Schizosaccharomyces pombe: one gene and its partners. The protein of the gene in region 1 interacts with the protein of each later gene in a biochemical or structural test. Each region holds a gene or a part of one and is shown in the gene's direction. Other genes may lie near its edges. The genes, in order: spg1, byr4, cdc7 and etd1.

The links.
Region 2: the proteins of spg1 (region 1) and byr4 form a complex in vitro, tested with the Schizosaccharomyces pombe proteins (one study listed by BioGRID).
Region 3: the proteins of spg1 (region 1) and cdc7 form a complex in vitro, tested with the Schizosaccharomyces pombe proteins (one study listed by BioGRID).
Region 4: the proteins of spg1 (region 1) and etd1 form a complex in vitro, tested with the Schizosaccharomyces pombe proteins (one study listed by BioGRID).

The regions. Positions count from the first base shown.
Region 1 is NC_003424.3:1,297,982-1,305,014, reverse strand, and holds spg1 (GTPase Spg1), read left to right. Parts: upstream 1-3,924; 5' UTR 3,925-3,996; coding exon 3,997-4,126; exon of another isoform or gene 4,127-4,172; coding exon 4,173-4,381; exon of another isoform or gene 4,382-4,534; coding exon 4,535-4,618; exon of another isoform or gene 4,619-4,658; coding exon 4,659-4,733; exon of another isoform or gene 4,734-4,772; coding exon 4,773-4,871; 3' UTR 4,872-5,303; downstream 5,304-7,033. Other genes in the region: knd1 (cullin-associated NEDD8-dissociated protein 1), read left to right, coding at 1-3,098; protein Utp8, read right to left, coding at 5,304-7,033. UniProt on the Schizosaccharomyces pombe protein: GTP-binding protein essential for the induction of septum formation at G2 and pre-START stages of mitosis. Acts via the cdc7 protein kinase pathway.
Region 2 is NC_003424.3:960,824-968,639, reverse strand, and holds byr4 (two-component GAP Byr4), read left to right. Parts: upstream 1-3,831; 5' UTR 3,832-4,205; coding exon 4,206-6,203; 3' UTR 6,204-6,326; downstream 6,327-7,816. Other genes in the region: SPOM_SPAC222.17 (uncharacterized protein), read left to right, coding at 435-610, 682-775; hem13 (coproporphyrinogen III oxidase), read right to left, coding at 1,272-2,210; poly(A)site selection protein Seb1, read right to left, coding at 6,527-7,816. UniProt on the Schizosaccharomyces pombe protein: Has an essential role in ensuring cytokinesis and septation occur only once during mitosis. It does so by interacting with the ras1 signaling pathways, thereby suppressing them.
Region 3 is NC_003423.3:3,221,211-3,231,014, reverse strand, and holds cdc7 (serine/threonine protein kinase SIN pathway Cdc7), read left to right. Parts: upstream 1-4,509; 5' UTR 4,510-4,584; coding exon 4,585-4,611; exon of another isoform or gene 4,612-4,663; coding exon 4,664-4,798; exon of another isoform or gene 4,799-4,839; coding exon 4,840-4,869; exon of another isoform or gene 4,870-4,918; coding exon 4,919-4,983; exon of another isoform or gene 4,984-5,030; coding exon 5,031-5,284; intron 5,285-5,334; coding exon 5,335-5,796; intron 5,797-5,836; coding exon 5,837-6,078; intron 6,079-6,146; coding exon 6,147-6,210; intron 6,211-6,247; coding exon 6,248-6,600; intron 6,601-6,641; coding exon 6,642-6,776; intron 6,777-6,812; coding exon 6,813-8,234; 3' UTR 8,235-8,664; downstream 8,665-9,804. Other genes in the region: meiotic septin Spn7, read left to right, coding at 523-727, 772-853, 904-997, 1,149-1,660, 1,700-1,812, 1,855-2,135; serine/threonine protein kinase Ppk24, read left to right, coding at 2,728-3,661, 3,744-4,195; Ras1-Scd pathway protein Ral2, read left to right, coding at 8,834-9,804. UniProt on the Schizosaccharomyces pombe protein: Protein kinase essential for cell division. Plays a key role in initiation of septum formation and cytokinesis.
Region 4 is NC_003424.3:5,084,754-5,091,980, forward strand, and holds etd1 (Spg1-binding protein Etd1), read left to right. Parts: upstream 1-3,225; 5' UTR 3,226-3,335; coding exon 3,336-4,245; exon of another isoform or gene 4,246-4,307; coding exon 4,308-4,573; 3' UTR 4,574-4,885; downstream 4,886-7,227. Other genes in the region: translation initiation factor eIF4A Tif1, read left to right, coding at 810-1,988; MAP kinase kinase kinase Win1, read left to right, coding at 5,688-7,227. UniProt on the Schizosaccharomyces pombe protein: Involved in septation.

The DNA.
Region 1 (7,033 bases):
TTATTAAAAAGGCTTGCTATCTCCTTTCTGACGTATCACTTTATGGGCCTCGCTTTGCATACAAATATATAATTGAGGTGCTTGATCGAGGTTTGGGACCCTCGACCCAAATGTCCGAGGTAAATATTTCTATTAAATTGCTTAACGAAATACTTCTGTCATCTAAAAAAGAAAAAGATTCATCTACATCATTCATCTCAACAGCAGTTGCTGACTACACCAATAAAATATTATCGTTATTAAAGAAGGAAGAAGCCCCAGATGAGTTAACGCAAAAATTGTTGGAGGTTTTAGGATTGTTATTAGAGTACCAACAAGTGAATATTTTGAAAATTTGGCCAGAATTACATGGTCTCTTAATCTCTAAAATTTCTTATGATCCCAATTTAATATCTGATACTAATGATGAAGATGATATCGCTGACTTTCTCGAAGAAATGAGTGACTATAGCAGCATTTACGAAGATGAAGAAGATGTATCTTGGATTGTTAGAAGAGAATCTTTGAAAGTCGTTTTGTCTGTAATTTTGTCACGTTTAGAGTATTTGCCTATAGTCCTTCAAGCACTAGGGACTTCTGTGGTTAGTAAGTTAAACGATAGAGAGGAATCTGTTTGCTTGATTTCTATCGAAGTATTAAAACAAGCATTCTTGCATGTTCCTCGTTGGATAGAGGTGTATGCAACTTCTAATGATAGAAAGCGTCGTTATGAAGGGTTACCATCGGACCGTTCAGCAATATCGGATACTTCTATTTATTTAGTGTCTGTAATTGGAAAGCATGTCTCTAAGTTATCTGATAAAACTCCACTTTCCATTGTATCTGAATTACTGAACCTAGTTACAGTGATTTTTTCTTCAAGAGATCTTGGTGTTCAGTCCGAATTTTCAAATCTGAGCTCAATTATATACCGTTTTCCTGATTTTTCAACCCTTGATATAAAAATTAAGCTGAATTTAGTTCGCTTAATATCAGCTATCATTTCTTGCGGCTGCGAAGAGATAGAAAACATGGAATCTAAAATGTCAACTATATTAAGTTTAGCGGTACAAAACAACTACCCACAACTTTCATACGAGGCCTTAATTACTGAGCTGTCATTTTGCAAATATATTCATAAAAAGCAACCCACTAACGTCTCAACAGATTTTTCCACAATGATTGATTCTTCACTTCAACTTTTGGAATCTAAAATTTCTGACTTGAAAGTTCGTTTAGCTTTGATAGATCTGGTCTCTCAATACGTAATTCTTTTCTATGAGCCTGATTTTGATTCTATATTCCTGAGACGTGTCTTAATTATTTTATGTAAAAAATTACAGGAAGAGCCCACTAGAAGTGCTGCTGCAAGAGCGTTATGTGATATTTTCATGTCCGTTACAGATATTACTAAGATAGAAAATGGAACAAAAATTTATGAAGAAATACTCCAGGATTGCTGTAGGCATATCGACAAAAGTGGCAATGAATTTACGACTGCTTATTTGGAACTATTAGAAGTGCTCTTGAAAGTTGGACAAAAATATCTCGCTGAAAGCTTGCTTGAACATATCTTAGGTTTACTGATCGAGACTCTTAAAAGAAACACTGAGAATACGGTTGCAATTTTAAAATGTTTGCTAATCATACCTTTGAGTATCCTTTTGAAATCAAAAAATTTACTAATAGACACTATAATTTCTCATCTGCAATCATCAACCATACATTTGAACGAAGAGTCCGTTTGTTTGCTAAGCAGAATTATTGCTGTTATTTCGAAAGAAGAAGATTTGGAGTTGATTATTAATTCTTTCACTTGTGCACAAAAACCTGTTGAAGAAATGGTTACATTGGCATTGATTGCTGCACAACTGATTTGTATTTTTCAATCAAAGGCCATTGTTACGTCTCTGAATAAAAGTTTTATGAGTCCTAAATCAGAAGTACGGATAAAAGTTTTCACAACTTTAATTTTTGGACAGCTTGATTACGGGAAGCTAACACTTCCTGCAAATGAGTACTTTGATACGATTGCAAGTAATTTAAACTCGCCGAATGCAGATGTTATGAAAGCAGCAGCTATTGCCTTAGGGTCGCTTACTAGTCAAAGTGAAAAATTCATAAAAGAATTATGTGCTTTATACGTCTCAGATGCTTATGATAAAGAACTTTTATTAATTTCCTTTTTAACTTTTCTTAAGAAATCAAAAATCGATTATGAAACAGCAGATAAAATATGGGATATCCTTTCTAAGGACATTGAAAACATTAAAGACTTTTCCACTTCTCCCTTCAGAACTCTTTTATCTGAATGTCTTGGTCTTTTAATTTGTAATGAATCTTCTAGCTTATATTATAAGCTAGAACTTTTATCCTCCAGTGAAGCTTCAAATCATATGCTTTTATCTCTTTCGGTGTTTCGTTTTTCGTTGACATTGGACTGTCCTAAACTGAAAGCTTATGAGAAACAATTTTTTGAAAAGGCGTATAAGCTATTTCAAAATCCAGACCTCGAAGTTAGTCAAGAAACGTTGCAGGTCATAATATCTGTGATAAAAAATAGGCGTTCTTGCATTGCAGACGTTTATAATGAACTTTTACAAGGCTTAATTTCCAAATCATCAGTTGATTCTAGTAACGTTCATGTTGTACAAATGGGCCCTTTCCAACATGTGGTTGATAATTCAATAAATCAACGGCAGCTAGTATTTGAAACACTTTATTCCTTACTGGATATCCCTGAATCTTTGAATCATTTAACCCATTTTTTACAGGTTTCTGTCATGGGGTTAGAAGATGAACATTATATTAAGCTAGTATCTTTGTCAATCTTGGAAAAACTTGTCGACTGCAGCCCTTCAATTATAGACGAGCAAGTAGACACTATTTTGGAAGCATTACGAAAAATTATAGAGCTTAGAAAAACTGAAAAGACTTTAAAGACAGATAGCGATAATATCCTTGATTTGGTTCGTTCTGCTTTGAGAGTTTTGTTTACAATGAAGTTGAAGTGCGACAATCCTGTAATTTCTGAATTCGAAAGTCAAGTTCAAAAGGGTCCTTACTCCTTGGAATATGAGGGAATAAAGAACGAAATCAAAACTACAATTAAAACTTGAATTTGAATATAATGTTGGAAATTCCCTTTGAATTTTTACTGGCATTTGATTACCTACAATATTTCAATGTTGAAACCTACAATGCGCTTCTCAACTGATATATTCATTAATTTCAGATGAATCCAGTTGACGCATTAAACAGTAAAAGCTAAGGTGTGCAAAATGAAACAGAAAAATAAATGCTGACCATATTTGTCATATTGTTAATTATGATAATGTTTAGAGGCATTTGGTTGACTTAATATATTAATTATTACTGGCTTGTTCTGGTCGTCAAGCATTTTAAAAATGACACTGCCATGTTAACGTTCAGTCTTAGTGTAACTTCTAATTATCAGTATATGAACAATTTTAGTACCTTTATCATATTATGGCTTCATAAACACCTGGCGGCTCGGTACCACAATCCCTGGTAAGAACCCGAATTCCGTTGCAATGCGAGTAAAACCCAGAAAAAATAGTCCCGAACAAACTTATGAGTACAAGAATTACGAATAATTCCAAGAGCAATTAACAACGCATCTCATTTGGCTCAATAATTAGCACAAACAGTTATGGAATTTTACATTATCGATAGCAAATAATCAAAACTACAATTTACTGTAAACCCACCAGTTATAATAACTAGCTTTTTTATAATTACTTATTATAAATAAAGATCTTTTCTCGTTTTAATTTACAAACTAATATATTACCAGCATTCTTTCCATTGCTTAAAAAAATATATGTACAAGTCAACGTAACACGACGTAGCAAGCTATGTCATAATACGCTATTCATAATAAGCCAATATATATATTATAACACGAACGAGGCTTCTTATCCTATGCAAAGGGAAATTGTTCATCTACTGCCGGGGTTCAAGCAGAGTAATATCAGAGGATAGGAGTTTTAAAGAATGGCAGATGCTAGAAAAAATAACGTCACGATAAAAGTCGGAATGATTGGAGATAGTTCAATTGGCAAAACATCTCTTATGGTAACTTATGTTCAGGGCTCATTTGATGAGGAAAGCACACAAACGCTTGGTAAATATTTACCTTTATTGGGAGATTTCTAACTTAACAAACTTAGGAGTGAATTTTATGGAGAAAACAATAAGCATTCGAAACACTGAAATTACCTTTTCAATTTGGGACCTTGGAGGTCAGCGAGAATTTGTAAACATGCTACCGATGGTTTGTAACGATGCCGTTGCAATTCTCTTTATGTTCGATCTTTCAAGGAAATCCACATTAAATTCTATCAAAGAATGGTATCGTCAAGCTCGCGGTTTCAATAAGGTATGAGTTCTTTCGTTCCGATATACGTTTATGCACGTCCGGGTTGTTTTGATTTTGTTTTTAGAACCGATAACCTCTGTTCGTGGCTAAACTTCATTAGATTACTTTTTATCGTACTCAGTATATCTCTAACTTAGTTACTAACGCTTTCAGACCGCTGTCCCTATATTGATTGGAACAAAATACGATCATTTCATGACATTTCCTCGTGAAGATCAAGAAGAGATTACCAAACAGGTACAAAAATTACTAGAAGTCGTATTATTAACTTGGTTAGGCACGTCGTTATGCAAAGGCCATGAAGGCAAGCTTGGTATTTTGTTCTACTTCACACTCTATTAATGTGCAAAAGGTATAATATCAGTTGATATACTATATTGACGATTTTTAGATATTCAAAATTGTTTTGGCTAAGGTGTTTGACTTAAAATGTACTATTCCTGAAATAAAAAACGTTGGAGATCCTATTTTGGAATACATCGATCGCTGATTTTTAATGCTTTACCATCTCTTTCTTTTTTTTTTTACTCTGATTTTACCCACACTCCTTTATCATGTTTATTTTCCCGAATTTTTGTGTCATTTAAGTATTGCTACCTTTTCCCTTGCTTTTGGTTTTAACGACATATTCATTTACTCAACTCTCTGTCAAAATATTTAATGAATTATAACCACGATCTCTGCAACTTTTGGTTTTTTGTTTGAACGAAATCTGTCTAATTAAAAGTGATCTTTACCAGTCTTTTGTTTTATCAAACTTTTAGTTGATATAGCTTTGCAGTTGAAAACAAGGTCTGAAATATCTTTGAATGTGGTATACTGTCCCTTTATGTACAAACATTATTTAAATTAATTTTTGATAGATTTTTATTCCAAAAAAATAACCCCTATATGTATTTCACAAATAAACCTGTTTTTCTAATTATATTTCTAAACGTTCAACTGTATATTTTCCAATAGCCATGTCAATTTCTTTACCACGGGCACGTTGGCTTTTACCTTTTCTTTTTTCGGAAAGAAAATCTTTTTTCAGTAAAGTCGCAAGATCACCCATGTCATCCACAATTGCTTTAGGTTGTGGATTGGCGTAGAACTGCACTCGTTCAGCATGTACGTCTTTTTTACGCTTAACAATTTCGGAAATTGCAGGGAGAACAAGCGACATAGCTGTTAAATTCGTTAGCTTTTCCTGTAAATCATTGTAGAGAATCCTCGCAGCCTCTAAGTTTTCAGAACTCGATGCAACGCCTCCAACACCCATTGCATCGAGAACAACAGACAAACAGTAAATGTACGTTTCCAAATTAAACTTAACAGATGCAAGGTTAGAGTCTACTACTAGGTTGCCCAAGGTTTTAAAGAGTGAATCAAAATCCTCGGGAACAAAAGCTAAAAGCAACGCTTCTCGGGATGTCGTGCTATCAAACAAAGATAACCTCGCTAAAGCACTTCTTAACAACTTAACCTTGGAGGAATTGATAGCTGTTTTAATTGCGCAAGCTATTTCATAGGCTGAAATATCAGAAGTTCTTTCCAGGAAATTAAAGGCAATGTCTTTTTGAAATTTATACAAACAATCAAACACGGAGCCCGAGAAACCTTTTTGTACCAGAGTTGAGTAGCTAAATAATCGGTGTCGTATTAAGTAATTGAGTGTCCCTGAAGCTGCACAACTGACCTGAAGCTCATTTTCCTCATCAAGGGAAAACAAGAGACTTTCAATTGCATGAGCAAATGGAATAGGAAGCACACTGCTTGTTTTAAGAATTTTGCAATTGTTGGCATACTGATTCTGGTATCGTTCGACAACACCTAGGAACTTAGCATCAAACTCTATGGTATTTTTTTGTTCAGCTAAGGAACGCAAGGAAATTAATTCATCACGAAGTGAATGATCTTGCAACTGTATATTTTTCAATAGTTGGTCACGCATCGAAGGACCATTTTTAGATTTTGTTAAAACTCCTTCGCCGATGAGTTCATTGGTTCCGCGTAGCTTTCCGATTTTTGAAGTACGTTTACCAACTGCATCGGCAAGAAGCATTTTTATCGGCAATGTATATGGTACAATGGCCAGTCCCTTCTTTAATAATACAGCAATGTATCCAGTTAATTGGGAGTTTTGATTCATTTTTTTTAAAGACGACTTATAACAGGTAAAAGTGAGAATCGTGGGTTTCTGTTTCAAATCGTAAACATCTTGAATAGTTCCGAATGTTATGTCCCATAAAGATAGTTGACTATCATGTTGAATTAACAAAAAATTATCCGAAATAAGCTCTATGTGTTCAATTTTCGATATGCTTTGGAAATGAAGAATTTTAATAAGCATATAAGATTTGGACTCATCATGAAGTGAGTATATGGATAGCCCTTCGAGGGAAATCGTATATATACTTGTAGAGTCTTTAGACATCAGAATGTGCGAAGGAGCCTGAACTTCCTTTAGAACCACAGCTCTCGTATTCACGAGACGTCTTTCAGAAACTGAAAAAGAATCTACATAATATTGTATAATTTTGTCGACATGTACACTATACAATAAATATACCATGGATGTGGATGAGGTGACATTAGCGCTAAAACTGGTAGACCCTGACTTTGGTACTGAAGAAGTTGTGTCGCTGTTCATCTCGATTTCCTTTGGATTAT
Region 2 (7,816 bases), 340 kb from region 1:
GATATCTAGTTTCTTTTGATTCTACAATTATCCTCCCTTTCTCTTTTCAGCAGCGAATTTCTACGTTATTTTCATTGTTATATAGTGTTTGTTGAATAAATACTTATTTCAATGATTTTATTATGTAAAAAGATTTGTATGCATTAATGTATAGTAAGCAACGCATCTATCTGTGATAGCAAATTTAAAAGCACAGCGAGTTGATGATTGACTAAAGTCTCAACGTTAGTAACAAAATCGTAAGAAATTGTAAGAACAGAACAACATTTGATGTTGTTGCTAAACTACGGGCCATTTGTGAGTTTTGATATCTGTCTACAAGCGTGTTAAAGTTACTCAGCAATACTCATGACATGCAGCTCTTAAACAGCGTTAGCCTGACTTCAACTTATTAGATATAGCAGTACGACTGAATCTTCCTCTGAAAGAGCATAATGGAAGAAAAAGTACAAGAATTTTTGAAGGATTCAACCAAAGAACAGAAGGTCTTCTTTGAAAGTCTAAACAATCAAACTGAACGAGTTTGCCAACAAACGGAGTCAGGGGATATCTCCTGCATTGAATTGGCTGCAGCGGAGACAAAATTGTTTGCTACTATGCAATCTTTAGGGTACGTAAGATGGGAGATTGTTAGATTATTATCCTATATACACTTACTGTGAGTTTGATATTAACCAACAGGTTCATTTGCACTTTATCAGCAGATCCCAATCGGCCCACTGTATTTGAGTGTAAAAGGGAATTAGATACAAATGAAAGAAAAGAGCGACTGTAAAATTTGTACCGATGCTAACGTTTTATGACTTGTCTATCTCAATCCGTTGGGGATCGACGTCGTTTTATCATAAAGACAAGACACACACATTTTACCTTCATCTTCTTTTTTTTTATTCGTATTATTTTAAAGAAAAATACATTGAAATTAAGTTAATGAAAGTGCAGATCAGTTGAAATTTATATTGTGAAATTAGATCTCAAGCCAAATAGGTACTGTACTTTACTTTAAAACTCTTTATAAAACACTACTCAATAAAAGATACGGATTTTTAAAGGGTAAAATATTGTTTCATTAGCTTAGAAAAGGGATTCAAAATCGCAAATTCAAACAGTTAAGAATTCCAAATAATGAAGAGCAAAAAAGGCATGATAGAAAATTTAACATGAGTTAGTGTAACATGGCATAGTTTAAAAACAAACGAAAGAATAAAGCTATTACCAAAAATTGTGATGTTCATTAAATGCTGAAGTAAAAGTCATTTTTGTGAATCTTTCTAGCACCATTCAATAGGGGTATGCGTTACTTTAAGGAGAGCCTTGTGACGCTCTTGTTTAGGCTCATACTTGTAACGCCAGGAAGCATGTAATGGAAGGGTCATAAGAATAGATTCAACACGGGGTTCAGGAGCTTGAAGACCAAACCAAGTACCTCTGTCATACATAACGTTAAACTCGGCATAGTATCCACGACGAATGAGTTGGAATTCCTTATCATCTTCAGTGAATTCCATGTTCTTTCTCTTTTCCATAATAGGGACATAGGCAGGAAGGAAGGTATGGGCACAATCCTTGACGAAAGCAAATAACTCTTGAGGATCTTTCTCAGAAAGATCATCAAAGAAAATACCGCCAATGCCACGAGTCTCCTTTCTGTGCTTGATGAGGAAGTATTCATCAGCCCATTTCTTGAAGCGAGGATAGAAAGTGGGGTCATGGCGATCGCAAGCTTCTTTATGCAATTTGTGGAAATGCTTGCCATCTTCTTCAAAGAGAATGCTAGGAGTCAAATCGGCTCCACCACCAAACCACCAAATCTTCTTACCATCACTGTTTACAAGTTCAAAGTAACGATAGTTCAAGTGAGTAGTAGGGGCCATGGGGTTGCGAGGGTGAATAACCATACTGATACCAGCAGCAAAGAATGGAAGCTCTTTGGCAGTACGATCAATACCTTCATGATTAGCACGCATTCTTTGGACAGCGTCTTGATTCAATTTTCCTTGAACAATACTTGTGTTGACACCACCCTTTTCAAAAACGTTGCCATCTTGAATAACACAACTGATACCATAACCACCTTCTCCCTTGGTCCACTTGTCTTGGAAGAATTTTTGTCCATCGACAGCTTCGAGACCAGCAACAATTTCTTGCTGAACATCGAGAATAAGCTTCTCCATCTGCTTGCCAATAGGCTCAACGGTAATGTCAGACATCTTTTTATTTACTTTACGGATTTGCTCAAAATGTCCAAAAAAAAAAGTAACCAAAATGGTATTTAAGATATGATACAACCGATTGGATGAATTGGTATTAACACAAGTGAAGAATCAAAACACTGTTCAACTTGCGAATTAAATTTACAACTTGGTTGTTTTGTTTTCACAAAAACACTGTGCCAGCAGCGAATGGGATTAGGGGGATTTATATCAAAAAATAGACTAAATTCAGATATTTAAAAATCGAACGATTTCTGGACAGTCACGACCGTAATGGCTCGTTTTTCTCGTAAGGTTAAGAACACAATCCGGATTCCACGATCTGAGTGTTTCGTTACTGCACCTTGTAGTGCGATATATAGATTCCTTCGATGGAAAACAATTATTAGTTTTATATGAATTTGATTAGGATGATGTTAAACATCCTTTTCTTTGACTTATTATTAGACTATCTGAAAAATGGAGTTACTTCTCGTCTATGAGAAATGTTTGTAAGTTGCTTCGCTACTAGCAAGCAATAATGTTTTTAACTGCTTGGTTTACAGAAAAGCACAAGAGTATAAGACAGATGCCATGCTTACTTTTTCAACTTGTTCGATTTACCATTTCTTAAGTACAAACATTAATAAGATCATCAACCTATATTTTTTATGAACTTTACATGAATAATTACATGATTAAATCACTGAAATTATATGAAACTATAGACAGAATTGATGCTAAAAATAATTTAGGAAAAATATGAATAGCGCGATCGCATAGGGGTAAAAACATGATTATGTTTCATACTTGGATTTACTAATGAAGAACGGTTTCTCATACCTATGAATTGAAGAGTTAATTTGTTCAACTTTACCATTGTTGATTTCAATAACTTTTTAGATGTAAAAAAATAAACTAAAATAAAACAAAGACGTTTCTTTTGTTATAAACTAATAGATTTACTTTTTAACCTATAGTTTAATCGTTTTTTTTTTTTTTTTTTTTTGTAATTTATCTAAACTCGTATATGAAAATAGTATGTATTTTAGAAATTATACGAAGAATCTAATAAAAAAAGATTCCTTAAAATGTATTTCATATATACTTGAACGAATATGTAGATTCCATAAACAGAATTAAATTGTAAATGGGCATAAATTTCAGAGAAAGCAATTGTTTATAATAATTTAAACGTTCAAAGAAAAATATATATATTTTCGTGGAGGAAAATAAAATTCTAAGACGAATGAATTTGCTAATACGAGTGACGATTAAACATACTATTTATTGCTTCACCTACTAACCTTCGTTGTAATTTATCTACTTTTTAAAAAACATTAACTCGTAGTTGCATGCTAATTAGATTACCTAGATTTTTTTAAGGTGAGGTGCAGCTATGCATTTTGGCAATCACATATGGTTAAGTATTTTACTATGATTAATCTAGCAAAAATAAATATGACTGAAAGATACCAAAAAAAACTATTTTTTTTTTAGGTTTACACAAGCAAATAGTAGATGCTTTATTTTTCACCTTATTAAAAATTGATTTCTCGTAAAGTACTGAAACCAAAGTACGTAAATTGATCAAGTTGGTGTTTACACTTATACCTCTAGCTCAACCTCCGTCTCTTTCAACAATATACCGCTAACCCAGATTCCTTGATTTTGTCATTGAAATAAGTTAAATTCTTTTTTTTGCTTTCTATACAAAACAAAATTTCATTGTATCTCTGAAAGCATCATCATAATCATATTCCTGAAGTCCTTTTGAATTGCTGTTCATAACTTATTACTTCTCGAAGCTGGGTTTGAAAGCGTAAATATTTACAGTGGTTACTTCTTTGCAAAATTAGTGACCATCCTTTTTCTCTCTCACTTTCTTTTTCTTTGAAAATCAAATTTAGGGTTTTCAGTTTTGGGTGAATACGGTTAGTAATCATTCTATGCGTTTTGCATCCAATTTCTTTTCTTAGCAAAGCCGTTTTAGTATACGTTTATTTTGATTGAATGACTGAAGTTGAATGCTGGGACGATGATCCTGATTTTGCTTCCGACGTCGATAATGCTAGCCTATTTACTCAATCCATAGCTACCACTAGTGCTAGTACGAGTGTGGATGATGGGTTCTCGTTTGACGACTCTATTAGTCGTCTTAATAGCCTTTCAATTTCTGATGTACCAAGCGCTCATTCTCGTGTCGAACAATGGAATCAACAAGTACATAATTTAAACCATGAACTGTCTTCCAACAAGAACCGAATTTCTTCCAATGTAGAAGGCTATGAAGATGATTTTTCGTTCGATGAAGAAGGTGAAGAAGGTAATAATGAGTTTAATACACTTCGTCCCAATAAATACCAAGATGCCGATGTTGATGAATTCAATACTATTAGAGCATCTGAAACTGCTTCTCAAAGACCTCCAATTCCATTCTCTAGTGATACTCTTAAGAAAACATATCTTTCAAGTGAAAATGATGCTCGGTATCCCAGTGTTTCGGACTCCCCTTATTGTGAATCGGAAGGCTTTTCTTCATTTGAAGATGATTTTGAAATAGACCCAGATACCGACCTAAACAGTATTTTGCACAGAAAACAAAATAGGATGGATCCAAAAGCTTCCTTTTCCAGCGTAGAACAGTCTTCGCTTCGTACGCCTTCCTCTGCGCATAATGACGACGGCTTTTGGGATGATTTTGATATTGACTTTAATAACGAAACAGAATCGATCTTTCGGAAAAAGATTCGATCTCCAAATACCATCAACCAAAAGCATCCTTATATTTCCTCCACAATTTCTTATCAACCTAATGTGCATCAGGATGCAAAATATTATCCCCTTTGTAAAGACATATTTCCTTCACTCGCTAATGAAAACCCTCATTCTGATAACCCAAACCTAAAGTATTCTTCGAAAACACTTTCGAAAAGGGATACGTCTTCTCATTATCCAGAAACGTTGAAGGCTTCGAGTAAACATTCTTCTCCCGTGAAGGGAAATTCTTCTATAAGCTCCACATGGACTCCCTCGAATTTGAAGATCTATCATTCGAAAAATTCGATGGGTTTGATGGATTTGGACGCTTTGAAGACAGTTGCAAGTAATTCTAAATACAGAACAAAGCCTAAAAATTGCAAGACTTACGGAGATGGTACAGAACTTGATACTTTAGATGAATTACCAGTTGATTATGAATTTGAGCTTAAATTGAGAAAAAAGCAAACTACCAAAGTTTCCGGAACGCCTAAAAGTAAACACGCAGGTTCAACTCAAGAATGGCATTCACATACTACCCCTAGATCTACTTCGAAACATGAGAATAATTTAAATAATATAACTAATTCAGCAAAAAATGAGCATATTCGGTCTCAAAGGCAACACAAAACTCATGCCGCCCCTTCTAAAGAGTTAACAAAAGAATCGCTTTCCAATGATCAATTGAGCGTCAAAGAAAAACGCAGACACCATAAAAAGGCACCTACTTTAATACAAAATTTAAATTCCCCTAGAACCCCAAAAATTGTTGGAAAAATGCGATATAATCCCACAAAACATTGCTGGGAAGGAAACGATTATGCAATTAGAGATTTTGATACCCCTATCTCGCCTAGCCGTCCAGCATTAATTTCCAACATTTCTACAAAAAAAGGAATCCAGGTTGTCGGAAATATGGTATATGACCCTACAAGGTTACGATGGATTGATAATTCGATTTCTGGTCAAGAAGCGGAAGATCCCTTTAGCGGGTTTGATGATCTTGAGGATACAGACTCCACCTCGCAGTACTTGAACGAAAATTCAGGTAGCTTTAATGGTAGCATAAACTCAATAATCAATTTTCCAGATATGAGTGAAATATACGATGTCGGCCCAGAGTTTGAAAAAAAGCAATTTAGCGAAGATATTCAATGGCGAAAGAGAATTGATGGCTGGTTTTTTTCATTTAAAAACGATGACAGGTCACGACTATGGGAGCTTTATAATATACTTAATGCCGAACAATAAACAAGGTTTTGTCTTTACCTTGCGAATGTTTATATATAATTATACGAATGCTTTTGTTTATCGCAGATTTGATCTTTTTGTACATAGCTTAATACACTTCGAAGATTTTTCATTTTGTTTGCAAATAGATGTATAAGATGTACAACAATGATACAAATGTAATACTAATGTGACACCCAGACAAACTAGATTGTTTGAACAAGACAATACAAAGAAAATAATCAATTAAATTTGGACCGAATACATTATACCCTTAAATACCGTCTGTAATATAGAAACCATTTTTGCCATCATTATAATACTTGTAAGCGTCTTTTAACACATTATTGGGGTTGCCAAGGAGGTTGTGAGACATACCCAGAAGAGTAATTAGGATCCATATATGGATAGCCGGGATTATATGGGTTGGTAGGGGGAGGAACGGTACTAGGATTACCATGCCAGTCATTTCCTGAATCAAAATGCCTTTCACCATGGTGAATGGGTGGACCTCCCCTATATGGTTTACGACCCCGGAATCGCTCATCACGACGCATAGCAAAATCTTTTCCTCTTTTACTAATTGCCTTAGAACTTATTCCTAATCCAATTTCAATATCAGGTTCATCCAAAGCGATACCAGGAGTAATCGGAAGGCCACCCGTGCCGCCATATTCTGCAGTTACAAGCCAGGTACGATCGGCATCCGTCAACAAACGGATTGGGATAACGCTGATTCCTGTGGAAAAGTCAGAGCACTCTCGAGGTCCAAATCCTACACCCCATTTAGTACGAATAGTAGTATCAGCAAAAGGGACATTTTCCATCGCTACTTGAGCTTTCTCTGCAGCATCACGACGAAACATTTTCAAGAACCCGTGTCTGTAATTATGATTTAAAATTAAACTTTGTACAGACCCAAATCGTTCAAACATAGATCGAAGAACAGGTTCTCGCACAGAACGAGTAATACCACCAAGGAAAAGAGTACGGCTGTATACCTTAATAGAATCAGGTGGAATGGTTGGGTCACGCTCAAATCGGCGAGGAAATCCATCAGGGGTAGGTTTTGGCACACCATCTGCAGGAGGCAAAGTAGAAGGAATGGATAAATGAGAAGGACTAGGGCTACGACGAGGGCGACCACTACGAGGACTAGGGCTACGAGAACGATGTAAGGAGCCGAGTCTTAAGGATTGGGAAGAGGTAGGAGCTGGCAAAGGAACACTGCCGACACCAGCCGGCTGGAATGGAGCGTTATAGTTGGGAAAAGCAGCTTTCATGATGCTATCGATTTGTGCAGGTGGTACATTCTGAGAAGCCAATACATTCATGAGAGTGATCTGTTGACTCTGGGTATCATTGACCGATCCTGTCTTCATCCCCATGGGACCAGAGGGAATAGACTGTGGTACATTTGAAGGTTGGAATAGAGGGTTTGATAATGGATTGCCTGACTGAGACTGTGCATTAATGGCGGTAGCTGGATGAACAGGTAGGTTAGGGACGACAGCAGAAACGGATGGTGCGACGGCAGGCTGCGGTGGAGTGCTAACTGATTCTTCGGCAGCACTAGGGACGGGCGCCTTTTGAGCGAAAGCAGCCAATGCCTCTAGAATAGAAGCAGCATCGTT
Region 3 (9,804 bases), on another chromosome or scaffold:
AACAAGCATATCATAACATTAAAACATTAACGAACATCGTTATGTAAAATCTACCAGCATCATTATGTTTACGAAGTTATATGTAGCAACGAAAGGTACAACTGTTGCAATCATTCAAAATTTGTGTGGTAGATGCAAAATAAGCATGGGAATTGGGTTTTCATGATTATGATTCCTTTAACAATTGCTGTCGCTTAAATAAACTCGAAAGTCTCATGAATTAATGCAAAATATCAGCGCCTTATTTTAACTCAGTAAATGAACAGAGGGCTCGTTAAAGGTCAAAGGTTAAATTACTTAAATTTTGGACAATGCGAAGATGATTAAGGCACAAAATGATTTAGAGAAGAATACTGGAAGAAAAAATATAAACTATATTTAAAAGTACTATTGAAAAGTTTTGTATAAAGAAATCTTCTGGATTTTCCTTGTTTGCGAAATGGATATACTGCCAACGTATCGGTGCCTTTATTAAGCAGTAAACAAACAAACCCAAGTTCTTCCAACAGCAAACACTTCAAGATGAATAAAGGCCCAAGACATCGTCCAAAATTCTTATCAAAAAAGGGAAAAAAGCTTCGCATAATGGTAGCAGGATCTAGCTACACCAGTTACCAAGCTTGTATCAATAGCTTGTGCAGTAAACAAATACTGGAAGCTGAAACAGAGATAGATCCGCTAAAAGCTCATATTGATAGAATACTGGAAATAAGGGAATTTAATGCTGGTGAGTTATTACGGTTTTAATTTTCGTGTGCTAACTGTAATTAGATATTTTAGAAGATGAGTTCCATGTTGACCTTACGGTCATTGAAGTAAATGGTTTCGGAGATAAAATTGATAATTCAGCTAGGTAATACCAAAAGGTATTTTTCTAAATTAAAGCTAATTTCAATGCATTAGTTTCGAGGTAGTTACTCATTATTTGGAAAGCCAATTCGATCAAGCCTTGATAGAAGAATCTAAAATCAAAAGAAATTCTAAATTTACTGATACGGTACGAAATCTGCAAACAAAGTTTTTCCGTCCTTAACTATTTCAATCAAGTTACTTCCATTACTTGATTTAATGTTGTTAAGTAGAAAACCAAGAGAACACATTGGTTTAAGAATGAGGAATGAAAAAAAAGTTTTCTAACGATATTTTAGCGCGTTGATGCCCTACTTTATTTTATTGCACCCCGTGGACATTGCCTGTCTGAGTTTGATTTGGAAGCCATGAAACGGTTTTCAAAGCGCGTAAACGTAATTCCTGTCATTGGAAACTCCAACGCTTTTACTGAAGAAGAATTAAAGAACTTCAAAGATGTGATAATGAAGGATTTGAAACAATGTAACATAAAGGTATTTGACTTTCCTTGGGATCCTGAGGAGGATGAAGACGAAGTCATTGAGGATAACAAACGACTTTGGGAAAGTGTTCCATTCGCTGTATCTGGAGGGGTATCAGAGGAAGATGAAGAAGGATATCAAAGAATCGTCAAGAAATTCCAATGGGGAACATTCGTAATTGATGATCCTGCACATTCTGATTTTCTTAACTTGAAGACCGTATTGTTTATTTCTCATTTGGATATACTCAAAAGTATAACTAAACAAACCTATTATGAGAATTATCGTACAGAAAAACTGTCCAACGACTCACCTTCGAACACATCATTGTAAGAAATTAACTATGCATAAGCGAGCTAATAAGTTAGGTCATTGCAAAAGCAAAATTCCATAGTTGCAAATGAAGATAAAAGAAGTGTAAATGGTTCTGAGAGAACGGAGACTCGATCTTCGATTGATCAATCAGAAATGCGAACTAATGGTAAGTATATGCATTCTCTCATTTTCGTGCTAATGAACGCAGTCTCCGATTCTACAAAATCTGAGGAGTTAAAGAAAATTAACTCCATCAAAGTTGACAACACCAGCAGTCTTAAATGCGATTCTTATGGAAATACTAAAACTAAAACTAATCAATTAAACTGTGAACAAATTGGATTAGAAGTAATATCGCCAAAGGAATTTCCTCACAGAACTACATCAAGTCGAAACAGTCTACCCAACAATACGACAAAGGAATTGGAGATGAAGAAAATGGATGATTTGTCTCATGAGCGTTACGAAAACCTCCCTTTCTATCGCTAAATTAAACATTTGAGAGTGCAAATTATAAACAATCAAAAGAATAATTTAGTATAAGTTCATGAAAAGTCTTTTGATTTCTTTTTAATTGCTTAATCATACACCTACTTCTCTACCTATGTCCTTAACATAAGCATTCATTAGACTACTAGATTACCGCACCCACACGTGCATTGTTATGACCTACTTGAAACGATGAGTTAACTGAGGGCTGCCGAACGTCTCGTTTGGTATTTTTAAATAAAATATTAATTTACAAATTCATTTAACTGTTGATTACTGAGTAATGAGTCGAATCAATCCAATGCTCATCATTACGTCTTTCAGGTTGAGTCGTAGATGCGTAAACGGTCGTTCATCGATTTAGGCATTCGTGAGCATATGATTTTGGAAATTTCGTTTCTTTCAAAGACGTTATGATTACAACTATGCAATTTTGAGGTTGCTAACACGTAACTCTTTATCTAAACAGAATAAATGATGAGGTTGTTCTGAAAACACTCTTTTTTTAGTAAGAAAATAAAGAAGAAGTACATAAAAAATCAATCAATTTGAAGTCGTAACTAGGCTTCTTAGCTTCAGCGGCTTGTCACTAATGACTAATTATCCTTTTTTTCGCCAGGGGACAATTTTCGTGGACAATTCAGCAATTCAAAGGAATTCAGAGAATAAGAATAGTCTTTCGATTGAAAATATTTTTGGGAGATTTCCTAAAGAGTTCTTCCAATTTTTTTCAATAAATGTTTCTAAATCAACAACCAAGAAGTCTTCCGTCGTTATAAAGCCAAGTACAATTACTGCACCATGGTTAGAAAATGAATACTTAGACAGTAATACTAGCTTACTTTCCGTTCATTCAATTCAACCTTCGTTTATTGGAATGTCTGACTTCGCAATTGGATTAGATCCTTCACTGAAGCGTATATTACCCGAAATAAGATTTCGCTTAGACTTTCAGCATCTAAAATCAATAGCTAAAGGGGCCACCTCTACAATCAAGGTTGTAACTCACAGAGATAAAATCACCGACGCAAAGATATACTATGCTGCCAAAGTATATCGGAAAACGAAAACATCGCATAAAAAAAGATTGAATACAATGGTTTATTTTTTAAGGGAATGGTCAATCCAACCAAAATTGGACCATCCTAATATTCTGAAAGTTATCTGCCCTTGTGTGACTTTGACAAGCGTATTTAATAAATCCGCTGGGTTTTGTTTGGTTCAAGAGTACTGTCCTCAAGGCGATTTATTTAAGCAAATTGAAGAAAAAGTTTTGACCTTAGAAGACAAATGTTGTTATCTAAAGCAAATTCTTCAAGCAGTAGCTTACTTGCAATCTCAACGTATTGCGCACCGAGATTTAAAGCCGGAAAACATCTTAATCGGAAGGGATGGATTGTTAAAGCTCACCGATTTTGGTACCAGCGAAATTGTGGGTAATCCTGGTGATAACGAATCCATTCGTTTCGTATCGGGTGCTGTTGGAAGTTTGGCATATCTAGCACCAGAAGCATTTCATGAAAATGGTAAGTCTTATGTGTATAAATTGTGTAGCAAGACGAGCTCTATCCTATTTCAAAAACGACGTACTAATAGTTCAATTGATAGAATATTGTGGTCTTTTAGCAGATAGGTGGTCATGTGGTATTTTGCTTAAAGTTCTGTTTACTGGATACTTTCCATTTAAAACTTCCGTGAAAACTGATCTTTACTACTCAAAGTATATGTCAATCCTTACAGATACTTGTGGTATTTCTTCAACTGATGAATCCAGTTTCCAAACCGAAGTCATTAAACAAATACCTACATTGCAGCCCCTCAGATATATACCTGAAGGTGCTAAGAAGATTATACTAAGTTTACTGAATCCTGATTCCCAGAATCGGCCGTCGTTGGATAGTATTTTAGGTACTGCATGGGTACGGAAACTGGATTGTTGCAGTAACTTCTCTACCGATCATGAAAATAAGAGTTTACAGGAAGTTGATTTTGATGCTTCTAAACCCATTACAAGGAAAAGTTTGATTCCTCGGATTCATAACCATCAGACACTTGTTTAACGTAGTTTAAATCACTGTCTTTTCTACTTTACTTTCCAAGCTAAAATGAACTCATTCTTCCTATGTACATGGTGTTTCCACTGACATTACTTAACCAACGGATTAGTTCCATCCTTGCCAATATTTTTTATATGTCTGTATAATACGCTTTTTCTTTTATACGAGAATCTTTGTTTATTAATGATTTTATAAATAGCTTAATTATTACTATTTACTTCTTTTGAGTTTATAACATGCAAGTTCAGGTACCGTACTAAATGTGTATGTACACTATAAAGTCCTTACTTCTTCAAACGCAGCAAATGCTACATCGTAAACAAAACCAAATTGTCTTTTCATTCAAAATTACAAATAAATTCAATTTTTAATTTGTAACTTATTCAATAGTCATGCACAATATCCAAGCATCTTCCATCGTATGCTAGTATTTAATGTTAATAGCCATTGGATTTTCAATAACATATTCAGACTCTTGGGGATTGCTTGGGCAAGGGTGCCTTCGGTGCAGTATACCGTGGTCTAAATATAAAGAATGGAGAAACGGTGGCTGTAAAAAAAGTTAAACTATCCAAAATGCTAAAATCTGATCTTTCCGTCATTAAGGTATGAAGGGATCTCAACTATTTTTCTCTAACAATTTTTAGATGGAGATTGATTTGCTTAAAAATTTGGACGTATGTTACTCATTCGTTTATAATGGTCGCCAAATACTAAACGTGGTAGCATCCAAATATTGTTAAATATAGGGGATCTTATCAGACGAACGATTCTCTATGCATTATTCTGGAGTACGTGATTTTCTTTAAAAAATTGTTTTCAAGTTAACGATATATAGATATTGCGAAAACGGATCGTTGCGCTCAATTTGTAAAAACTTTGGAAAGATTCCAGAAAACCTAGTGGCCTTATATACGTTTCAAGTATTACAAGGGCTACTTTATCTACATAATCAGGGTGTTATCCATCGTGATATTAAGGGTGCCAATATACTTACTACTAAAGATGGCACTATCAAGTTAGCAGATTTCGGGGTTGCGACGAAAATTAATGCTTTAGAGGATCATAGTGTTGTTGGAAGCCCCTATTGGAGTAAGCCTTTTCTAAGCGTATAGTTATAACATTACTAACAATTTATATAGTGGCTCCCGAGGTTATAGAGCTTGTAGGCGCCACAACAGCCTCAGATATTTGGAGTGTTGGCTGCACAGTTATTGAACTGTTAGATGGAAATCCTCCCTATTATGATTTAGATCCTACGTCCGCTCTTTTTCGGATGGTGAAAGATGAACATCCTCCCTTGCCTTCAAATATTTCTTCGGCTGCTAAAAGTTTTTTAATGCAATGTTTCCAAAAGGACCCAAATTTACGAATTAAGACCAGAAAACTTCTTAAACATCCTTGGGTGATAATGAACCAAACCTCCTCTAAATTTTCTGACGCTATAGACGAGGTTCAAAAATATAATGAAAGAGTGAAAGAAAGCACTTTGACAGCTATTATCGAGCCTACTTCCAACAGAATCAATCCGACTCTTCATTCTGGCAGGCAGTCTTCTTATCACATGCCTGAGTCTCCAAAAACACCAATTGCCGAGTCCCCAGGTAGCTTTATGATACTTTTTAACTACTCTAACATTTTTAGATCATGATAACTGGGACAATGAATTTCAAGGAACCCTTAAAATCAGTGACGATGTTTTAAAGAAATCTGAGCATTTTATGGATTTTTGCAGTAACTTTAAAGGAAAAAATAATTCCAGCTCCATAACATCATCCCCTTCGAAGTCTCGCCATGCTTTTAATTCAGATCAAATCTCTGAATCAAACAACTTTAATGCATCACCGTTGAGTACTCCTCTCAAAGCCCAATTTGATCCCTCTAAGGTAAATAATGCAGCTCGATTTTCTAGAGCTTTTAATGATTTTAAATAAATAATTAACCTTTTTTTTAGCCCGCTCTCAACCGGTCAATAGATCATCAAAAAACTCCGCAACATAAAAGATACTTGTCAACTGGTAAGTATCTGATACTAACATATAACTAATTATCTAGAGTTTAAAGAGAATATACCAGACGGAATTGAAAAATTTGTCGAGACACCCAGAGATAGTGAATTTACTGATATTTTCCCTACATCCTCAATCAAAGTTCAAGGATTGAGAAAGGAGACTGGACTGGGGACTTTGGTTTTAAACAAATGTTATGGCTCGTGGAATAATGAAGAAAATGAGGATGGGGAAGAATCGGATATCTTTGACTCTATTGAAACAAACTTAGAAAACTTGGATATTGAAAACAACATTGCTTTAGATAAGAGAACGCATCTAGCTTCCTTACTTTCCAGTCTGTTAGGCTCACTACGTGACAAGAATATCGGATCGAAGGATACAACTGTTTCGCAAATAGTAAGTGCATATTTTTATATTGATAATTTAACTGACAATAGGCTTCTATACTTAGTGAAGATCTTTCTCTAAAACGAGAGATAATACAAGCGCATGGTATCCTTCCACTTTTAGAGACATTGCGCGAAATAAAAACGCCTGATGTTCAATTGCTGTTATTAAAGCTCATTAACACTGTAAGGATATTTAATGCGTGATTTTACTAACGTTAGGTTGCATTCGATGATCACACAACTTTACAAAAAGTTTGCTTTGCTGGAGGTTTACCGCTTATGTTGTCATTCTCTAATCGTGAACACTCTTTTGAGTTTAGATATGAAAGTGCTATCTTTATTCAACAGATGTATAGAACTTCTGCTTTGACATTACAAATGTTTTTGAGCTCAAATGGTCTGAATTCGCTTTTATTATTTATTAAAGAGGACTATGGAACGAACCGTGACTTTGTTTTTGTTGGCGTAGAAGGAATATGGAAATTACTGAGACAACAGGATTACATTCCAAAAAATGATATCTGTACGATGGTTGTAAATGATTCACTAGAGCCCTTGACCAAAGCCATGCTGAAAGCTTTGGCTACTGACGATGATTCTTCAAGAATGTCATTAACACGTATATGTGAAATTTTATTGGCTTTATCTCAGGCTGATAATTATGTTAAGGAATCACTTCTTTGCGAAAGTGCTCTTCGAAGGATATTGCGTATTCTGCTTTATCTGCCGCATTCTGATATGGCGATTACCTTACAGTTTTTCAAGCAACTTTCAATGGTTCCTTCATCTTTGTCGCTTCTTAGGAAAGTTCATATAATACCTCTTTTGACACATATTCTCGGTGACAGCAAAATTGAGAAAGGACGAAAAGAAATTAGAAGCGAAGCTTTGGCCGCTTTATTCAATGTGTGTAAGCTAGATAAGAAATCGCAAGAAGAGGCTGTTATTTCTGGTGCTATTCCATTATTGCAAGAGGTGATTATTAAAGACAGACTGTTTAAGGAGTTTGCGCTGCCGATATTATTAGCTTTGCCACAGGCTGGTCCAGTGTCGAGAATTTATCTTTGGCAAAATAAATGCTTAGATTTTTTTCTCTCGTTATTATCAGATCTTAATTGGCAATCTGCGGTATTTGATACGATCGCATCTTGGTTGCAGTTTGAACTCCGTGAAGTACAACGTGTTTTGGCAGAGAAGAGAAACGTACAATTAGTGTTAAAGGTGTTCTGTATTTCTCAATCAGCTTCCTCAAACAGAATGCTAGATACTTTGGGCAGGGTTTGTCAAATTTCCCCAAGATTGGCAGCCTCTTATGGCCAGCCTATAATATTCCAGAAATTTAAAGAAAAGTTAACTCATAAGGGGACCAAGCCGATTGTGGTCCTAAACATATTTCAAATTATGAAATCAATGTGTGAAGCTAGTAGCCAAAGTGTTGCTTATATTGCGCATTGTGGTTTACCAGATGTGGTTGCAAATTTGAACCAAACAAGTGATTCTGTGCTTGTTAAAGAACTAGCAAAAGACCTGCTGAAATACCTGAAGGTACCACAGGGTCCCATCAATGAGCACAAATCCCCCATTTCGAAACCGCATATGCCTCCACCTAGATGGCAACCAAAGCAGCCATTAACGCAGTGAACACTATTAAACGCATTTCCCAGTGCACGACTATATTACTTGTTTATGATATTTCTGTATTTATGGCTTAATGATTAATAAATAAGGTTGGGATTATGGAATCAATATTTTTTAAACGAAAGTTTTGCTAATTTTAATATTAATATATTATCATTCCATGTGTAAGTACGTTACCAGTTGTGTTTATACCTGAAATACAATCTAATTGAGTACCGCAATGAAGACTATTTATTTACCGAATCTATATTGATGAATCTTAGAAACGTTAAGAGAAAGGTTTATAATATGCTTATCACAGTGTATATTTATATTTATTCATTCAAGTGCTTCGAATTTTAAAATCTAGGTGTGCATAAAAGTTAACTTCACTATATCAGTTAACGCTACGATAGTGCAATACAGGAAGAAATATGCACTAAAACAAAAGGACAACAATGATTTTTATGCTTCTCATTTTTGGCTATTAATTTGCTGCTTTGTTTATTGCATAAATCTTTTTTGACTGTTTGCATTTCAGTAATTATTAATTTTTATGTGGAAGGAAAAATCACTTTTTTGATATTTCTTATTAACGTCGAGTTGCTAAACAGTTTATATCTATGTCAGAAGTAAAAAGGAATATATCTTTGAGAAATTCAACAAACATTTTTACTTCTACATTTAGTTTATCTTCAAATAATGTCCCAAAACCGCTGATTGGGGAGTCAGTTATAAAATATGGAGACGAGGCTTTTGTATATGGAGGACGCGATGCATTAAATGCGCAGCTTGTTAATGATATGTATGTAGTTGATCTTAACACTTGTTCCTGGAAGCAAGTTGAATATCAAGGAAATCAAAAGCCGATACCACGGTATTTCCATTCAGGGGATTTATGGAATAACAAATTAATATTCTTTGGTGGTATGGGATTTAATGATGATACAAAATGTCTTTATGTTCTTAACGACATCGACATATATGATATTGAGACTAAGCAATGGTCTCATATACCTGGCATGATAACAGAGAATCAGACAAATGACGATGCTAAAGAAGTCAATGGATCTGATGTTGATGAAAAAAGCAAACACTTATATCCATCAGCACGTTACGGACATTTGCATTGCGTGTTAGATCATTATCTTATTATATTTTGTGGGCAAGATTTATCAAACAGCTATATTGAAGAGATAAATATTTTTGACCTGGATTCGGGAAAATGGGTTTTTAAATCCCTGTTCAATCATCACTGTGGTATATACAGATCGAATTGTGTGGTAATAAACAAAGATAGTGAATTTTTACAGATGTGTCGACCAATTAATACAACTCAGGATTCTAATGAGCACTCTATCGGTTCTTTGTTTTTTTATTTAAATTACAATTTTGTCAATGTTAAGAGGCAAGTAATATACTTGGAATTATTTGAATTAGATACTGCCGAAAGTGAAAAAAAATCAGCCGCTTTGGCAAAAGATAATAACCAATCTTTCCGTTTCCTAGAGCTTGATGTTACTGAAAAATTCTTAAGTTCAGCAATGCCGCCGGGACTAAGGTTTCCTGCTGTTAACATACTTGGAGACAACTT
Region 4 (7,227 bases), 3.8 Mb from region 1:
GGACATCTTTTGCATGCCACATCAATTGATTATAATATATGCTATTACAATCTAAGCTTCAAGAATCTATGACCCTGCTTCATCTCTTTAAGGAATAACTTTAAAAATTCCTACGTACATATATTTACTATGGTTGAGATAATGCTATTGACGATTGTGTGTTTTATTAAACGAATTGTGTCTTTTTCAATTTGCTCAACATTGCACGCTGTTTTTGTTACGAATCATTCTTTTTCCATAGATTTATTATGCATTTCTTTAGTCAACTAATAAACAACCTCTCTGCATTCAGCATATTCATTCATTATCTTTTATTGTGATTGTTTAAAATACTCATGTGTAATCGATAACTTTTCATACTATTGAAGATAACATGAACAGTGTTACAATAATAAAAAATGCTTTTATATGCATTCCAAACTCCTTAACATTTTTTATGTTTTAGCATTCACCAAATATTACCACGTAAAATACACTTTTTCGCAACGAGTTGCTTATCTGTATTAAACAGCATTAACGCAGGCTTCGATAGAGTGTGCAGGAGTTTATCGCCACGTTCAGTAGGGTTTTTCTTGCTACATCATTTTTTAGAAGACATCTAAAATCTTAAAAGTAAAGTGTGTACATAAATGTTTTTATAATTTTTTTAAATAGATTTTTCAGTAAAAGTCTGTGTATTTAAAGTACTAAAATAATCAGGAATTATTACAATTTTTCAGGTGTGTGACTGTGTGTTAGAGAAAATATTTATTACAACCCTTCAACTTTTTTTCCACAACCCACTCACCTAGCTAAGCAAGATTGCTAAAATGGTAGACCAACTGGAGGATTCGGTTATTGAAACCAACTACGATGAGGTTATTGACACCTTCGACGACATGAATTTGAAGCCTGAGCTTCTCCGTGGTATTTATGCCTACGGTTTTGAGCGTCCTTCTGCCATTCAGCAAAGAGCCATTATGCCCATTTTGGGAGAGCGTGATGTCCTTGCTCAAGCTCAATCTGGTACTGGTAAGACTGCTACCTTCTCAATTTCTGTTTTGCAGAAGATTGACACTAGCTTGAAGCAATGCCAAGCTCTTATCCTTGCTCCTACCCGTGAGCTTGCTCAACAAATCCAAAAGGTTGTTGTTGCTTTAGGCGATCTCATGAATGTTGAATGCCATGCTTGTATTGGTGGTACTCTTGTTCGTGATGATATGGCTGCCTTGCAAGCTGGTGTTCACGTTGTTGTTGGTACACCAGGTCGTGTTCACGACATGATTCAACGTCGTGCTCTTCCTACCGATGCCGTCCAAATGTTTGTTCTTGATGAGGCTGATGAAATGTTGTCCCGTGGTTTCAAGGACCAAATTTACGACATTTTCCAACTTTTGCCTCCTACTGCTCAAGTTGTTCTTCTTTCTGCCACCATGCCTCAAGATGTTTTGGAAGTCACCACCAAATTTATGCGTGATCCCATTCGTATCCTTGTTAAGAAAGATGAGCTTACCTTGGAAGGTATCAAGCAATTCTATGTTGCCGTTGAAAAGGAAGAGTGGAAGCTTGACACTCTTTGCGATCTTTATGAAACCGTCACTGTTACTCAAGCCGTTATTTTCTGTAATACCCGTAGAAAGGTCGATTGGCTTACCGAGCAGCTCACTGAGCGTGATTTTACCGTCTCCTCCATGCACGGTGATATGGACCAAGCTCAACGTGATACTTTGATGCATGAGTTCCGTACTGGTTCTTCTCGTATTCTTATCACCACCGATCTTCTTGCTCGTGGTATCGATGTCCAACAAGTCTCCTTGGTTATCAACTATGACTTACCTGCTAACAGAGAAAACTACATTCACCGTATTGGTCGTGGTGGTCGTTTCGGTCGTAAGGGTGTTTCCATTAACTTTGTTACCAACGACGATGTTCGCATGATGCGTGAGATTGAACAATTCTACAATACACACATTGAGGAAATGCCTATGAACATTGCTGACTTGATTTAAAAAATACAAAAGTCCTTTCTTCTCTTTGTTCTAGATATGGAACGCTCCGTGATTGCTCTTCTCGCAACCCGGCAAACCTCCCGCAACTTAATTTATCTGCTTTTCTTTGCCCATGTTTTTAATGCTTCTTTTATCTGTGCCGGTTGATAGCTGCTCACCATATGGTTTTTTGTGAGTCGTGTTAGTGTTTGCTGAGAAAGGATTTTTTTTTTCGGCTACGCTGTTTATTCATTAGGTCACAAAATAAAAGGCTGGATTTGGTTGATTTACATATATTTACTCTTCTTTTGAGCCTCGTGTAGCTGTTCTGTGATTACTTTTATAAATGTGTTGTAGTTTGGTTAGAAGGTTTGTCGTTTTTTTGTTTTTTGGTAAAACTAAATGAGTGAATAGAGGATGTCAATCTGTATTTTGGATTGAACTTTTATTTACTGCGTATACCTTTGTGGAATTAATTTTTTTGCTCAGAGCTAACGTATTTGTGTTAACCGTAACTGTCCAGTCGTACTTTTGTAAGGAATTAGGAAGTTCCTTTTGCTAAAAGTTAAATGGTCTGTAGTAATAAACAATTCTGCTAGGTAAAAGTTATTATTAATCATTGATCCATTAACCTATTATATTCGCTATGTTTATATTAACTGTGAGATTAAAGGTTGCATCACTTTACGCTCTCAAAAACGTAGCTTTAAACTGCAAACATTATTTGACTAGTTTTAAAGAGTTTGACTTTTAAGTCAATGTAATGAAAGAAAAGAAGAAAACAATGTTTTCCCTGCATCAACAGAGTTAGTTGAAGAGTTTATCGTAAGCAAGTAAAGAAAGTTGAAAGGCGTATAGCAACTTTTGATGCTAACATTGTGCTCATGAACGAGCAGTGGCTTTGAATCTTTGTAGAGTCATTCATCTTTTCAGTTTTTGGCTAACTTATTTATTTTAAGTTGAACATTTTTAATGAATAAAACTTGTAATAGACAGTCTTTTCCATTTCCTAGTCTATCTCTGCTAGCATTCCATCTTTACAAAGCCCTATTTAACGTAACCACGATTAACGCGTTATAAAGTATTTATCAGAATTATATAGCGCTTAAACAACATAACGAATTGCGTTCTTTGATGTTATAGAACTTTGTATTTCCTTATAAATCATTTACAGATTCATGTTCAAAATTCGTTATGTCGTTCTCATGACGACCGTTTGTTTACTAACAAAAGCGTGGTCTTGACGAAAGTGCCTTCTACCATTATTTACACACTTGAATGGGTTGACGCGTACAGTCTTTTCTCTACGGCAATAATTCTTTCTTTAATTTAGCTTAAGAGAAATATAGATTTACGAGTATTTCGTCAATGGGAGTTGTATACGGCAGTCAACAAAATTTAAGTGAATATTTCTATTCTTCTGTCAATATGGCAGAGGTTCCAGATACTTTCGAAGAGAATAGGGGTCATTCTTTTGAAGGTGTGACTCTACAACGAAGGCATGTGAAAGGCATGAAAAGTTATGGTTCAGATATTACACCGAGGCGCCCTAAACAGCTTGGATTACCGAAAGAAGTTAACACCTCCGAATGCATAGATCAAGGCTCATGGAGGAAACCCTCAGCATTTGAAAGCTTAAGAAGTTACTCCCGAAAATTTTCTAAACGAATTTTTTCATTCATAGGAGTTGAGTCAAAAAGTACTGTACAACGCAACGCTTCAGGTGCAGACAGTACGTCGTTGTCTCACTTTACGGCGAATGAGATAAACAAAGGCAACTGTAAAAAAACTGCGTTAAGTAATGAATTTAATTCGGCCAATAAAGGGAGCAAGGCTAGTGGTGTAGGTGCTGAACTACCTTCAGTTAATGGATTTATTGAAGGTGAGCTTCATGATGATAATGAGACAGATTCCTTTCGGATAAATGAATTAGCTAAGCAAATCCAAGAAACTTCTTTGGGTGCGACTACGCAAGAAGATGAGAGTTCGGATGGTATTTGCTGGGACGAGTTATCGACTACTTCGCCAGAGTCGTCGAAAGTGTCGGAACCTATCATTCAAGACAATACGCAAACGACTCATATAAATAACGATTCATCGGATATTCGATTTTCATCTCGTTGCGATTTATTTGCGGACGATGCGGATTCAGATTGGGAGCAGGACTTTAATGTGAAATTCGATAGTCCATTGATAATTCCCGAAACGGTAAACAGTGCAGGACACACCGTTCGAGAACAGCTTTTTGAGGTGAAGGAATTTACGAGATCCATCAAAGGTAAGACATTCATGTGTTGTAATGCTTTAGTTTTAACCGCTGCTAACTAAAAACACAAATAGACTTAAAAGATCTTTACGAAAAGGCAAATTCCAAAGATATTTACGACAAGGACTCAGAGATTTTAGGAGAGGCTAAGGCTATTCTACGGTTAGCGGATCCTGCAAATTATTCTGATTTAAAGGATGAGGACGCGCAAAACATTTTATCAAAATATAAAGTTAAGTTGGAAGGGGATTCTTCATTAGATTTCGATGCGTCCATGCTACCAGGGCTAAACGATCATGTGCATTATTTAATGTCCCAACTCCAACTATTATTACACTGAGTTTCTCTTTTTGGCTATTTAATCCATTAATGGAATGGGAAGTATCTATTTTGTTATCCAAAGTGTCAAAATTTCGCTTAGGATAATTTCAATAATTGTGAGAACAGTTTCGCATTGGTGGATAGCAAGTAAAGGTGAAACTGGCCATTACAACCTTTTTATACTTCTGCATCTTAAGAAGCTTTTGGTTTTATTGTAAATTTCTTTCGTTTTCTCTTTTTAATAAATCTATTTTGCAATAATATTTCGGAAAAAGTACTAGACAGATGTTTTGTCTTTTGTGAATATTAGTCCAACCTTTATTCTGTGATAAAAAGATTTTATTAAATTAAAGTAAAAGAATGTAAATCAAAAATACCTGAAAACCCATATCTATGATTTTGCTATTTAGTGAGAAATTCCTCATTGCACTGAAAATCCTTAAAACTAGTACCCCACTTCATACTATACTACGGGGTTAGACCACAATTAGTTGTTTATCCTTTGCACACCGCAAACCTATAAATTTTCTTTTTGTCAATTCCACATATTCTACAAGGAGGATTGACTTTTTAGTTCACTGATTATTGCTCTTTCAACAATTTATACGCGGTAGTTTTACTGCTCTTCGGCTCGTATAATTTTTTTACACAACACTTTTATCGATTTTTTAAGCCGAATTTCTACATTTAATATTTTATCATTTTTTTCTGCTCATTAATATTTACCGTATCTTTTCGAAAACCCATTGCTTTGGATGTGTGTGTGTGTCTCTCTCTCTACGTTCCTCAATTTGACTGCATTACTTTAATATACTTACAACCTGAATTCTGTTCGGTTGGTAATTCCTGCAATCGTTATTTGTCTTTGTCAACTTCGGATTTTTTATTTTTACATATAACAGTAGTTGCATTGACTTCGCTGCACAATTCCTTACACTGAGTTGGCATTCCTTGCATCTGTAAACCACTTTTTCATTACCCACTCCCATTTTTGACTTCAGTAAACAATTATTCTACTACTACTTGCCACTATTCCAAACTTATCTGTTTCCCGTTTTGGGTTTAAATTTGGGTATAACGGTCTTTTTTATACATAACTTCTGAAGCAATTCGAAATTTGTTCCTCAACAAACATGGAAAATATTTTGGATCCTTCTGTGGTCAATTCACATATACTAGAAAATGGCTCAAGGCGATCTTCTATCAATCCAATTCTTGATAGTGAATTGCGTGATAAAACATTTGAAAAGGCTCATCGTCGCTCTTTGACTTTACTTTCAAGTTTTACCTCGTCTATGCTTGAACTTCCTAACAACGGAAAAGAAGAAAATCACAGAAGGCCATCTGTTGCGCGTAGCTCAAGTGATAGATCCAAGGCGAGCGCCAAAGAGGACTTATTTTCAGAAGCTTTCAGAATGGCTGAACAGCCTCCAGCCGAGGCCCTTACTATTTCTACCCCTGTTGACCCAATCAATATTGATGAATTAGATCGTGCTTATGCCGTAAGTCCAAGCGATACTAGTAATCTACTACATCCTCCTACTTCTTCCTCTTCCATTCCTATACCAATTAAGAATGCTGGTCATTCAAACCTCGATCATCCTATCCGACCTAGTCTGCAAAGTAGTATTAGCTCAAATAGGATAATAAAGTCTCCCGGTATTAAGGAAGACGATTATATGCACAGAGGACGTTCTATTTCGTCGCCAATGATTGATGTTGAACACATAAATTCAACAGCAGTTCCAAGCAAAACTAAAAATTTGCCAGAAAAGCCCAAGCGTTCTCACAAACTAAGAAATTCTATAACATTTGCTAAAATTGAAGATCATCCTGAGAGGAAATCTCAATTAAGACGACTGAGTAGTTCGTTAAAGTGTTTTGACCCAGAATATGATTATAACGATCCTTCTCTAAGCATTCGTCGTGATAGTTCAACTTATTACTTTTCTAATGTTAATGAAACTTATGATGAGGAGGACTCGGATTTAGATTCTGAGACTTCAACTGTAAATTGGGTACAATCTGTTCTGAATCTCCCATCCTTACTTTCTGATGATTTAATGGCTAACCCAAAAAACAAAGAACGTTTTGAATGGCAATATATGTTGACTTCAGTTCTGACTGGTGATATAGTCCGATCTGAAAAATTACGGCTAAGAAAGATTGCTTCTTCTCGAGAAGGGCGAAATAGTGATTATTCTGATAATTTGTGGATGGAAATATGGTGTTGGCTTACTCATCGTTCCGTTGATTCTTATAGAGAAAATTTAAAACATCTTCGTACGGGTATGGTTGATGTGCTACTGGCCATTATGAATTTTCATTGGGATGAGAGCAACGAATTAACCCCTATTGTTGCTGTCGATAACATGCTGCAAAAACTTGATAAATATGAACGTTTATATCCTTCACGTCGTTCTATCCTTCAGGAACATTCATTATATGCTTCAGAATCTTTTCAGCACAAGTTGGATGTCTTGACGGCTTATTCTAATGTCACTCATGCGCTAGAAATTCAAGTTAACATTATTCGCTCGTGGGTTGGTAATGAGGAAATGGACATTACCAAAAATACTACAAATTCTATTAATAACGTTTCTCAAATTTCAAACGGACCATTTGTGGAGCGCTTTTATAGAGAAACCGGTTTGATTCGAGCTTTTGAGCAAA